2 linked regions of the Saccharomyces cerevisiae S288C genome follow. The gene in region 1 interacts genetically with each later gene. Each region holds a gene or a part of one and is shown on either strand. Other genes may lie near its edges.

What was found. A genetic interaction does not mean that the proteins touch.
Region 2: of MAL32 (region 1) and MAL11, changing one enhances a phenotype caused by changing the other (phenotypic enhancement), as found in Saccharomyces cerevisiae (one study listed by BioGRID).

Annotation. Positions count from the first base shown.
Region 1 is NC_001134.8:802,605-808,424, reverse strand, and holds MAL32 (alpha-glucosidase MAL32), read right to left. Parts: upstream 3,075-5,820; coding exon 1,320-3,074; downstream 1-1,319. Other genes in the region: YBR298C-A (uncharacterized protein), read left to right, coding at 3,169-3,390; MAL31 (maltose permease), read left to right, coding at 3,950-5,794.
Region 2 is NC_001139.9:1,073,463-1,078,412, forward strand, and holds MAL11 (alpha-glucoside permease), read right to left. Parts: upstream 2,352-4,950; coding exon 501-2,351; downstream 1-500. Other genes in the region: alpha-glucosidase MAL12, read left to right, coding at 3,137-4,891. UniProt on the Saccharomyces cerevisiae protein: High-affinity uptake of alpha-glucosides such as maltose, turanose, isomaltose, alpha-methylglucoside, maltotriose, palatinose, trehalose, melezitose and glucose. Acts with the concomitant transport of protons into the cell (symport system).

The DNA.
Region 1 (5,820 bases):
GGAACTTCCACTGGATCAAGCTGGCCATACCGGAAACTATACCGGAAATTGATAAATCAACATCTTAATAAGTATTATATAATTTTTTTTGTAATACTAATAATCGGAGAACAGCACCAGCGCTTCGTATGTTAGGCAACGGTTGCCGCCTAGGTCTACGTTTCTCTATTCATTATATGGTAAGTGAAGGAGACAAAAAGTGGCGGCTTACATACAGAACTTCTATCCTATGGATGTACCTGCAGTCTTTCTGTTTGGATGAAATTGATAGAGGGCTTAGTGTTACTAATACAGAAAGCCTTTAAGCCTTTTTCTCCCTTTTATTCACCGTTTCAATATGTCTATCATTCTGGTCATGTGTTTTTCTTCCAGGAATTTACAATTATTACAGCGATAAGTAATCATACGTATCCAGATTATAGGCCCGTTGCTGAAGAATAACTACACTTCTCTGATATATAGTTATAGCTCAATAACTAATGGCATAGGGGACACAGATTTTCGTAGTCAAATTTCTCAAAGGATAAGAGCGTCATTCCACCTCTTCTCTTCACTTCGTTGGCTTTTATATATTGATTGTGGGGTGTTAATGTTGTAGAGTTACCGAAGTAGCAAGATTCTTATGCGCTTATTTTCTTTTGCTTAATCACACTGTCTAAAGCATATGGATTATGGACAGATGATTGGTTTAGTTCATCTGAAGGCTAGACAATAAAAGGCGGGTTCGGAAGGGGGTAGGCATGCTCAGACTTGACGTAAACGCATAAGCCGGCAATGTTGAATCGATTTTGTAACTCGCCTGAGTGTTACATGAGATTACATATAGGATCGAACCATCACGAAATCAATTACGCTGTGTTATTGAATCATAAAATCACAGAGCTTCCCGAGAAAACGCTAAATTATGTGTCAAGTACTGTGGGCATCTCTTAACGCTATCTTATATTCATTTCACTTTTTATATCTAGTCCTTTTCTTTTCTTTATTAAATAAAACTACCACCTTGTATGATTCTTAGCAAGACATTCCAGCATTAATACCAGCACAGGTTTCTTCTCCCTTGTTTTCATCCGAAGAGAAAGGATAGTGCTTCTTATGCTTCATTAATAATTTGGAATTCACATTTATATACACGCTAAATATCATAATGAACGAGGATCATGTAGAAAAACACATTTACCCATAATGGTGAAACAAATTATCAACAGTGCTTTTACGTTATCATCATTTACATATAAAAAATTTATCTAACAAAAATCATGTGAAAAATCATCTGTTATTTCGTTAAAGTACGCGCTAAAAAAAAGTCGGCACTAATTTTATTTGACGAGGTAGATTCTACCTTCCCATGGTTTCAAAACTCTGGAGGAAACGTCAGTATCATCATAATTTCCAAGAATAAAAGATAAAGAAGCACCTTCTCTTGGGAGGCTGAATTCAATTTCTTCGCCACTGAAATTCAAAGCAGCAAACAGCGTCTTGTCTTCGTACTCTTTAGTGAAGCTAAAGATCTGGTCACTGTCTAAATCAATGAATTGGAAATCGTAACCATAAATCATAAGTTCCTTATATTTCTTTCTGGCTTGCAAGGCCCTTTTCCAAAAATTGAGAACTGAGTCATCATCTCTGGATTCCTGCTCAACATTGATTCCTTGCTCAAAAGATTCATTCAAGAAAAACCAAGGTTTAACATCTGGGCCAGTAAATCCAGCATTGGGCTTATCTTTCGTCCATGGCATGGGAGTTCTCGAATGATCTCTAGAAAGTAGGGCGATTCCTTTAAAAAAATCCTTCATTTCCTTCGAGTTTTTACCAAAACTTTTTTTGATAATCTCGTAGTTGTTTTTCACATCAACGTCCTCATACTTTTCAATAGGCCATTCCTTGAAATTGATCTGGCCTATCTCCTGACCTTGATAGACATACAACGTACCTGTCAATGAACATTCTAGCAATGTTAACAGCTTACCAGATATTTTACGGTACTTTGGCGAATCGTCAGCAAATCTCGTAATTGACCGGGCTTGATCGTGATTCTCGATGTAGGTGGTAGCCCAACTATCAGTACCGTTAATGAACAAAAAGTTCGATGCAATGGCTTCTTTCCATTGTTTCAAGGTGAAGGGCACTATGTTATAACGGAAAAATGGCGAGGTACCAAGTTCAACGTGCGTGAAGGAGAAAACTTCGCTGACTTCGTATCTAGCTGCACTGGTGTATAAAGCATTATCACTTCCATGGGCAACTTCACCGACTGTCATTATTTCTCTACCATCTTTCACCCTGTTTTTCATAAATCTGTGTAGTTCTTGATGATATTCATGAATCCTAGGACCATTGTGAGACCCCCAATTTGGATGTTGTAATTTCGAGGTTTTGTCAAAAATTGGGGAATCTGGTAAACCAGGACGTTTCGAATACAAACCAGCGGTATCGATTCTAAAACCATCTACACCATGGTCCAGCCAAAATCCAACAGCACTTTCAAAGATTGCCCTTCTGCAGTCTTCATTCTCCCAATTCAAGTCAACTTGACGACTCGCAAACAAACGGAGGTAAAATTCATTTGTAGTTTCATCAAAAGTCCAAGCTGAACCACCAAAGAAAGATTTCCAATTGTTTGGAGGAATTGGCTTGCCTTCGGCGTCATAACCTTTAGGAGGTCTCCAGAAGAACCAGTCACGCTTCGGATTGGTCTTCGAGGATCTGCTCTCTTTGAACCATTCGTGTTCTGTAGAACAGTGGTTGATAACCAAATCGGTGATGAATTTCATACCCAGCTTATGAGTCTTGTCAATTAGCTCAAAACAGTCCTCGTTGGTACCGTATGTGGGCCAGACCTTTTCGTAGTTAGATATATCATACCCCATATCTTGTTGAGGAGAGTCATAAAACGGACAAACCCAAATAGCATCAACGCCAAGATCTTTAATATACTGCAACTTGGAAGTGATACCTTTTAAATCACCCCAGCCATCGTTATTGGAGTCTTTAAAACTTGCTGGGTAAATTTGATAGATTGTGGCCTCTTTCCACCACTTTGGTTCTGTTTCTGGATGATCAGAAATAGTCATTTATGTATTTTAGTTACGCTTGACTGATGTACATTTGAGATTATCAAAAAAACTGCTTAAGAGATAGATGGTTTAATTTTTTAGAGACGTATTAATGGAACTTTTTATACCTTGCCCAGAGCGCCTCAAGAAAATGATGCTGAAAGAAGAATTGAGGAAGGAACTACTCATCTTACGTTGTTTGTATCATCCCACGATCCAAATCATGTTACCTACGTTAGGTACGCTAGGAACTGAAAAAAGAAAAGAAAAGTATGCGTTATCACTCTTCGAGCCAATTCTTAATTGTGTGGGGTCCGCGAAAACTTCCGGATAAATCCTGTAAACTTAAACTTAAACCCCGTGTTTAGCGAAATTTTCAACGAAGCGCGCAATAAGGAGAAATATTATATAAAAGCGAGAGTTTAAGCGAGGTTGCAAGAATCTCTACGGTACAGATGCAACTTACTATAGCCAAGGTCTATTCGTATTGGTATCCAAGCAGTGAAGCTACTCAGGGGAAAACATATTTTCAGAGATCAAAGTTATGTCAGTCTCTTTTTCATGTGTAACTTAACGTTTGTGCAGGTATCATACCGGCCTCCACATAATTTTTGTGGGGAAGACGTTGTTGTAGCAGTCTCCTTATACTCTCCAACAGGTGTTTAAAGACTTCTTCAGGCCTCATAGTCTACATCTGGAGACAACATTAGATAGAAGTTTCCACAGAGGCAGCTTTCAATATACTTTCGGCTGTGTACATTTCATCCTGAGTGAGCGCATATTGCATAAGTACTCAGTATATAAAGAGACACAATATACTCCATACTTGTTGTGAGTGGTTTTAGCGTATTCAGTATAACAATAAGAATTACATCCAAGACTATTAATTAACTATGAAGGGATTATCCTCATTAATAAACAGAAAAAAAGACAGGAACGACTCACACTTAGATGAGATCGAGAATGGCGTGAACGCTACCGAATTCAACTCGATAGAGATGGAGGAGCAAGGTAAGAAAAGTGATTTTGATCTTTCCCATCTTGAGTACGGTCCAGGTTCACTAATACCAAACGATAATAATGAAGAAGTCCCCGACCTTCTCGATGAAGCTATGCAGGACGCCAAAGAGGCAGATGAAAGTGAGAGGGGAATGCCACTCATGACAGCTTTGAAGACATATCCAAAAGCTGCTGCTTGGTCACTATTAGTTTCCACAACATTGATTCAAGAGGGTTATGACACAGCCATTCTAGGAGCTTTCTATGCCCTGCCTGTTTTTCAAAAAAAATATGGTTCTTTGAATAGCAATACAGGAGATTATGAAATTTCAGTTTCCTGGCAAATCGGTCTATGTCTATGCTACATGGCAGGTGAGATTGTCGGTTTGCAAATGACTGGGCCTTCTGTAGATTACATGGGCAACCGTTACACTCTGATCATGGCGTTGTTCTTTTTAGCGGCTTTCATTTTCATTCTGTATTTTTGCAAGAGTTTGGGTATGATTGCCGTGGGACAGGCATTGTGTGGTATGCCATGGGGTTGTTTCCAATGTTTGACCGTTTCTTATGCTTCTGAAATTTGTCCTTTGGCCCTAAGATACTATTTGACGACTTATTCTAATTTATGTTGGGCGTTCGGTCAACTTTTCGCTGCTGGTATTATGAAAAATTCCCAGAACAAATATGCCAACTCAGAACTAGGATATAAGCTACCTTTTGCTTTGCAGTGGATCTGGCCCCTTCCTTTGGCGGTAGGTATTTTTTTTGCACCAGAGTCTCCATGGTGGCTGGTTAAAAAAGGAAGGATTGATCAAGCGAGGAGATCACTTGAAAGAACATTAAGTGGTAAAGGACCCGAGAAAGAATTACTAGTGAGTATGGAACTCGATAAAATCAAAACTACTATAGAAAAGGAGCAGAAAATGTCTGATGAAGGAACTTACTGGGATTGTGTGAAAGATGGTATTAACAGGAGAAGAACGAGAATAGCTTGTTTATGTTGGATCGGTCAATGCTCCTGTGGTGCATCATTAATTGGTTATTCAACTTACTTTTATGAAAAAGCTGGTGTTAGCACTGATACGGCTTTTACTTTCAGTATTATCCAATATTGTCTTGGTATTGCTGCAACGTTTATATCCTGGTGGGCTTCAAAATATTGTGGCAGATTTGACCTTTATGCTTTTGGGCTGGCTTTTCAGGCTATTATGTTCTTCATTATCGGTGGTTTAGGATGTTCAGACACTCATGGCGCTAAAATGGGTAGTGGTGCTCTTCTAATGGTTGTCGCGTTCTTTTACAACCTCGGTATTGCACCTGTTGTTTTTTGCTTAGTGTCTGAAATACCGTCTTCAAGGCTAAGAACCAAAACAATTATTTTGGCTCGTAATGCTTACAATGTGATCCAAGTTGTAGTTACAGTTTTGATCATGTACCAATTGAACTCAGAGAAATGGAATTGGGGTGCTAAATCAGGCTTTTTCTGGGGAGGATTTTGTCTGGCCACTTTAGCTTGGGCTGTTGTCGATTTACCAGAAACCGCTGGCAGGACTTTTATTGAGATAAATGAATTGTTTAGACTTGGTGTTCCAGCAAGAAAGTTCAAGTCGACTAAAGTCGACCCTTTTGCAGCTGCCAAAGCAGCAGCTGCAGAAATTAATGTTAAAGATCCGAAGGAAGATTTGGAAACTTCTGTGGTAGATGAAGGGCGAAACACCTCATCTGTTGTGAACAAATGATTTTTTTAGCCAGTAGGTAGATACGG
Region 2 (4,950 bases), on another chromosome or scaffold:
AAGCGATTGTGAAACTATGTGATATGTTTTGAGATATTTCATGAACCATATAGAATATGCATAGTATATCCCAATAAAGCATTGAATTATGAATGTCGTATCTCTATAAGCTCTCACATTAATGCTTCAAAAATACTTCATAAAACATTATAATATAGTTTAATGTGATTTTTGCGTGATTCTCTCCTTCTTTTTATTAAGTGTATGGACATTTAAAGTAACAGTTAATTGAGAATACGGTTGACCTGGCATGTTGTTCGAATCAATATCCAGGCACAAGTACCAGGTGCTAAAGAAAAAGTACTCTCATATTTGCTTGATTGCTGCTTGGGCTATTTTAACTAACTACTAACAATATTTTGCTTAAAAAATGGTAAATATGAATGTTTTACAGAAAAATAAAAAATGTATATATATAAAATCTCGAGCTAGCTGAGGGTTTTGGGAGCAGTCAAAGGGATTCCTTATTTCTTCCAAAAAAAAAAAAACAACCCTTTTACTTAACATTTATCAGCTGCATTTAATTCTCGCTGTTTTATGCTTGAGGACTGACTGATACTCTCATCAGCTAGCGAATCATGTTGAGTTTTTCCCTTTCCGAATGGATCAACCACAGTAGATGCAAATTTTCTGGCAGGAACCCCTTGGTTGAAAAGTTCATTAATTTCACTGAAGGTTCTACCAGTTGTCTCAGGCAGATCGATGATGACCCAAGCTAAAGTGACTGCTGTGAAACCACCCCAGTATAGACCAGTTTTGGCACCCCAGTTCCAATCGCTCACGTTTAGCATATAGGGCGTTAATATAGCGTTAATAACGGCCATGAGATTGTAGCAAATACGGGCCAGCACTATAGTCTTAGTTCTCAACTCCGCTGATGGAATTTCAGCAACGATACAGTAAACAACTGCACCGATACCAGCATTGTAAAAGAATGATAAAGCCAGCAATAAACCACCGGCACCATTACTAGCGCTGCTTCCAGAACCAAAACCCATTCCACCAATAATAAATAAGCAGACCATTTGAAATGCAAGACCATAGGTCAGTATTGTCCATCTACCAACACGGCCAGATATTACCCAGGAGCAAAGTGTACCCGCTAACCCAAGACAGTACTGAATTAGAGAAAAAGTAAACGCCTTGTCGGTGGCCATACCTGCTCTTTCAAAAAAATATGTCGAGTAACCAAGTAAAACGGCACCGCTACTATTTTGAGCTACCCAAGTTAAACATGCAAGTCTCGTTCTTCTTCCATTAACTCCCTTGAAACAATTAAAGAATGATCCTGATTTAGATGCTAAAAGTCTTTCTTTTTCAATAGTCAATTCAATCTGCTTTAAAGTAAGATCAACTTGAATGTCCTTCTCGGCGCCTTTACCACTCAAAATTCTGCTTAAAGATTTTCTTGCCTCAGCGACCCTATCCTTTCTCACCAACCACCAGGGCGACTCAGGAGCGAAAAAGATACCGATCATTAAAGGAGCAGGCCAAATCCATTGTAAAGCAAATGGCAATTTATAGCCCAAGTCGGAGTTCCCTAAATTCTCTTGTGAGTTTTTCATAATACCAGAGGCGAAGATTTGACCAAATAACCAACAAATGTTGGAGTAACTGGTCATGTAATATCTTAATGCTAAAGGGCAAACTTCCGAAGCATAAGTAACAGCCAAACTTTGGAAACAACCCCATGGTATAGCTGAGAGAATTTGTCCCACAGCAATCATAGCTAAACTTTTACAGTAGTAGAGGATAAAGATATAAGCAGTTAACAAACCAAGTGCTGTAATCATCGTATAACGATTCCCCATAAATTCAACCATATAAGTCGTGATTTGCAAACCAATCATCTCACCACAAAGGACACACATGTTTAAACCAATCTGCCATTGGGAAGTAATTTCGTAAGAACCCTCCCCGTTCAAAGTACCGAATTTTCTCTGAAAAACTGGCAGGGCATACAGTGCGCTCAGTAGTGCGGTATCATAACCTTCCATAACCAGGGTAGTAGACACTAATATGGACCACAGGGCTGCTTTTGGATATTTTAGCAACGCCTGCTTCAAAGTCATGCTTTTTTCCTCGCTGTTAGCTTCATTTGCATCATCAGTAGCGTTCATCTCATTAATCACATTCTCGTTATCTTCGTCAGAATCTCCTAACTGGGCTGAATTGGTGGTGAACTCTAAGTGGTCTAGCTCAAAGGCACTATCCTTTTTCCCTTCTTCAAAATCTTCAGTATTGAAAACCTCCTGTTGGTTTACAATATCTCTTGAAGACTCAGAAATGTTTTTATCCTCATTTTTTGAGGCAGCCTTCTTCTTGCTTACCAATGAAATGATATTTTTCATATTATACTATTTTTTTAGTTGTTTGATGTTCTTCTATGTAGCATCAGAAAGAAACACCAACCCGAAAATTCTTCAAACAATCAATACCAAACCGCTTTATATAAAAAATTAAGATGTCGACATTCCTTATTTTTTACTGAGTTCGTTAAAGTTGGGTACACTCTTGATTACTGTAATTGTCTCTGTATGTCCCTCAAGCCCGGTACGTTGTCATTTTCTAGTACGCATCAACGGAGTGTTACATGATAGATAGACCGAGTAGAATCTATGGCTATGGGGTAATTAAAACCTTAAAGCTCCTTTCGCTGCCATAGTAATACGAATAGACCTTGGCTATAGTAAGTTGCATCTGTACCGTAGAGATTCTTGCAACTCGCTTAAACTCTCGCTTTTAGATAATATTTCTCCTTATTGCGCGCTTCGTTGAAAATTTCGCTAAACACGGGGTTTAAGTTAAAGTTTACAGGATTTATCCGGAAATTTTCGCGGACCCCACACAATTAAGAATTGGCTCGAAGAGTGATAACGCATACTTTTCTTTTCTTTTTTTAGTTCCTAGCGTACCTAACGTAGGTAACATGATTTGGATCGTGGGATGATACAAACAACGTAAGATGAATAGTTCCTTCCTCAATTCTTCTTGCAGCATCATTTTCTTGAGGCGCTCTGGGCAAGGTATAAAAAGTTCCATTAATACGTCTCTAAAAAATTAAATCATCCATCTCTTAAGCAGTTTTTTTGATAATCTCAAATGTACATCAGTCAAGCGTAACTAAATTACATAAATGACTATTTCTGATCATCCAGAAACAGAACCAAAGTGGTGGAAAGAGGCCACAATCTATCAAATTTACCCAGCAAGTTTTAAAGACTCCAATAACGATGGCTGGGGTGATTTAAAAGGTATCACTTCCAAGTTGCAGTATATTAAAGATCTTGGCGTTGATGCTATTTGGGTTTGTCCGTTTTATGACTCTCCTCAACAAGATATGGGGTATGATATATCCAACTACGAAAAGGTCTGGCCCACATATGGTACCAATGAGGACTGTTTTGAGCTAATTGACAAGACTCATAAGCTGGGTATGAAATTCATCACCGATTTGGTTATCAACCACTGTTCTACAGAACACGAATGGTTCAAAGAGAGCAGATCCTCGAAGACCAATCCGAAGCGTGACTGGTTCTTCTGGAGACCTCCTAAGGGTTATGACGCCGAAGGCAAGCCAATTCCTCCAAACAATTGGAAATCTTTCTTTGGTGGTTCAGCTTGGACTTTTGATGAAACTACAAATGAATTTTACCTCCGTTTGTTTGCGAGTCGTCAAGTTGACTTGAATTGGGAGAATGAAGACTGCAGAAGGGCAATCTTTGAAAGTGCTGTTGGATTTTGGCTGGACCATGGTGTAGATGGTTTTAGAATCGATACCGCTGGTTTGTATTCGAAACGTCCTGGTTTACCAGATTCCCCAATTTTTGACAAAACCTCGAAATTACAACATCCAAATTGGGGGTCTCACAATGGTCCTAGGATTCATGAATATCATCAAGAACTACACAGATTTATGAAAAACAGGGTGAAAGATGGTAGAGAAATAATGACAGTCGGTGAAGTTGCCCATGGAAGTGATAATGCTTTATACACCAGTGCAGCTAGATACGAAGTCAGCGAAGTTTTCTCCTTCACGCACGTTGAAGTTGGTACCTCGCCATTTTTCCGTTATAACATAGTGCCCTTCACCTTGAAACAATGGAAAGAAGCCATTGCATCGAACTTTTTGTTCATTAACGGTACTGATAGTTGGGCTACCACCTACATCGAGAATCACGATCAAGCCCGGTCAATTACGAGATTTGCTGACGATTCGCCAAAGTACCGTAAAATATCTGGTAAGCTGTTAACATTGCTAGAATGTTCATTGACAGGTACGTTGTATGTCTATCAAGGTCAGGAGATAGGCCAGATCAATTTCAAGGAATGGCCTATTGAAAAGTATGAGGACGTTGATGTGAAAAACAACTACGAGATTATCAAAAAAAGTTTTGGTAAAAACTCGAAGGAAATGAAGGATTTTTTTAAAGGAATCGCCCTACTTTCTAGAGATCATTCGAGAACTCCCATGCCATGGACGAAAGATAAGCCCAATGCTGGATTTACTGGCCCAGATGTTAAACCTTGGTTTCTCTTGAATGAATCTTTCGAGCAAGGAATCAATGTTGAGCAGGAATCCAGAGATGATGACTCAGTTCTCAATTTTTGGAAAAGGGCCTTGCAAGCCAGAAAGAAATATAAGGAACTTATGATTTATGGTTACGATTTCCAATTCATTGATTTAGACAGTGACCAGATCTTTAGCTTCACTAAAGAGTACGAAGACAAGACGCTGTTTGCTGCTTTAAATTTCAGTGGCGAAGAAATTGAATTCAGCCTCCCAAGAGAAGGTGCTTCTTTATCTTTTATTCTTGGAAATTATGATGATACTGACGTTTCCTCCAGAGTTTTGAAACCATGGGAAGGTAGAATCTACCTCGTCAAATAAAATTAGTGCCGGCTTTTTTTTAGCGCGTACTTTAACGAAATAACACATGATTTTTCACA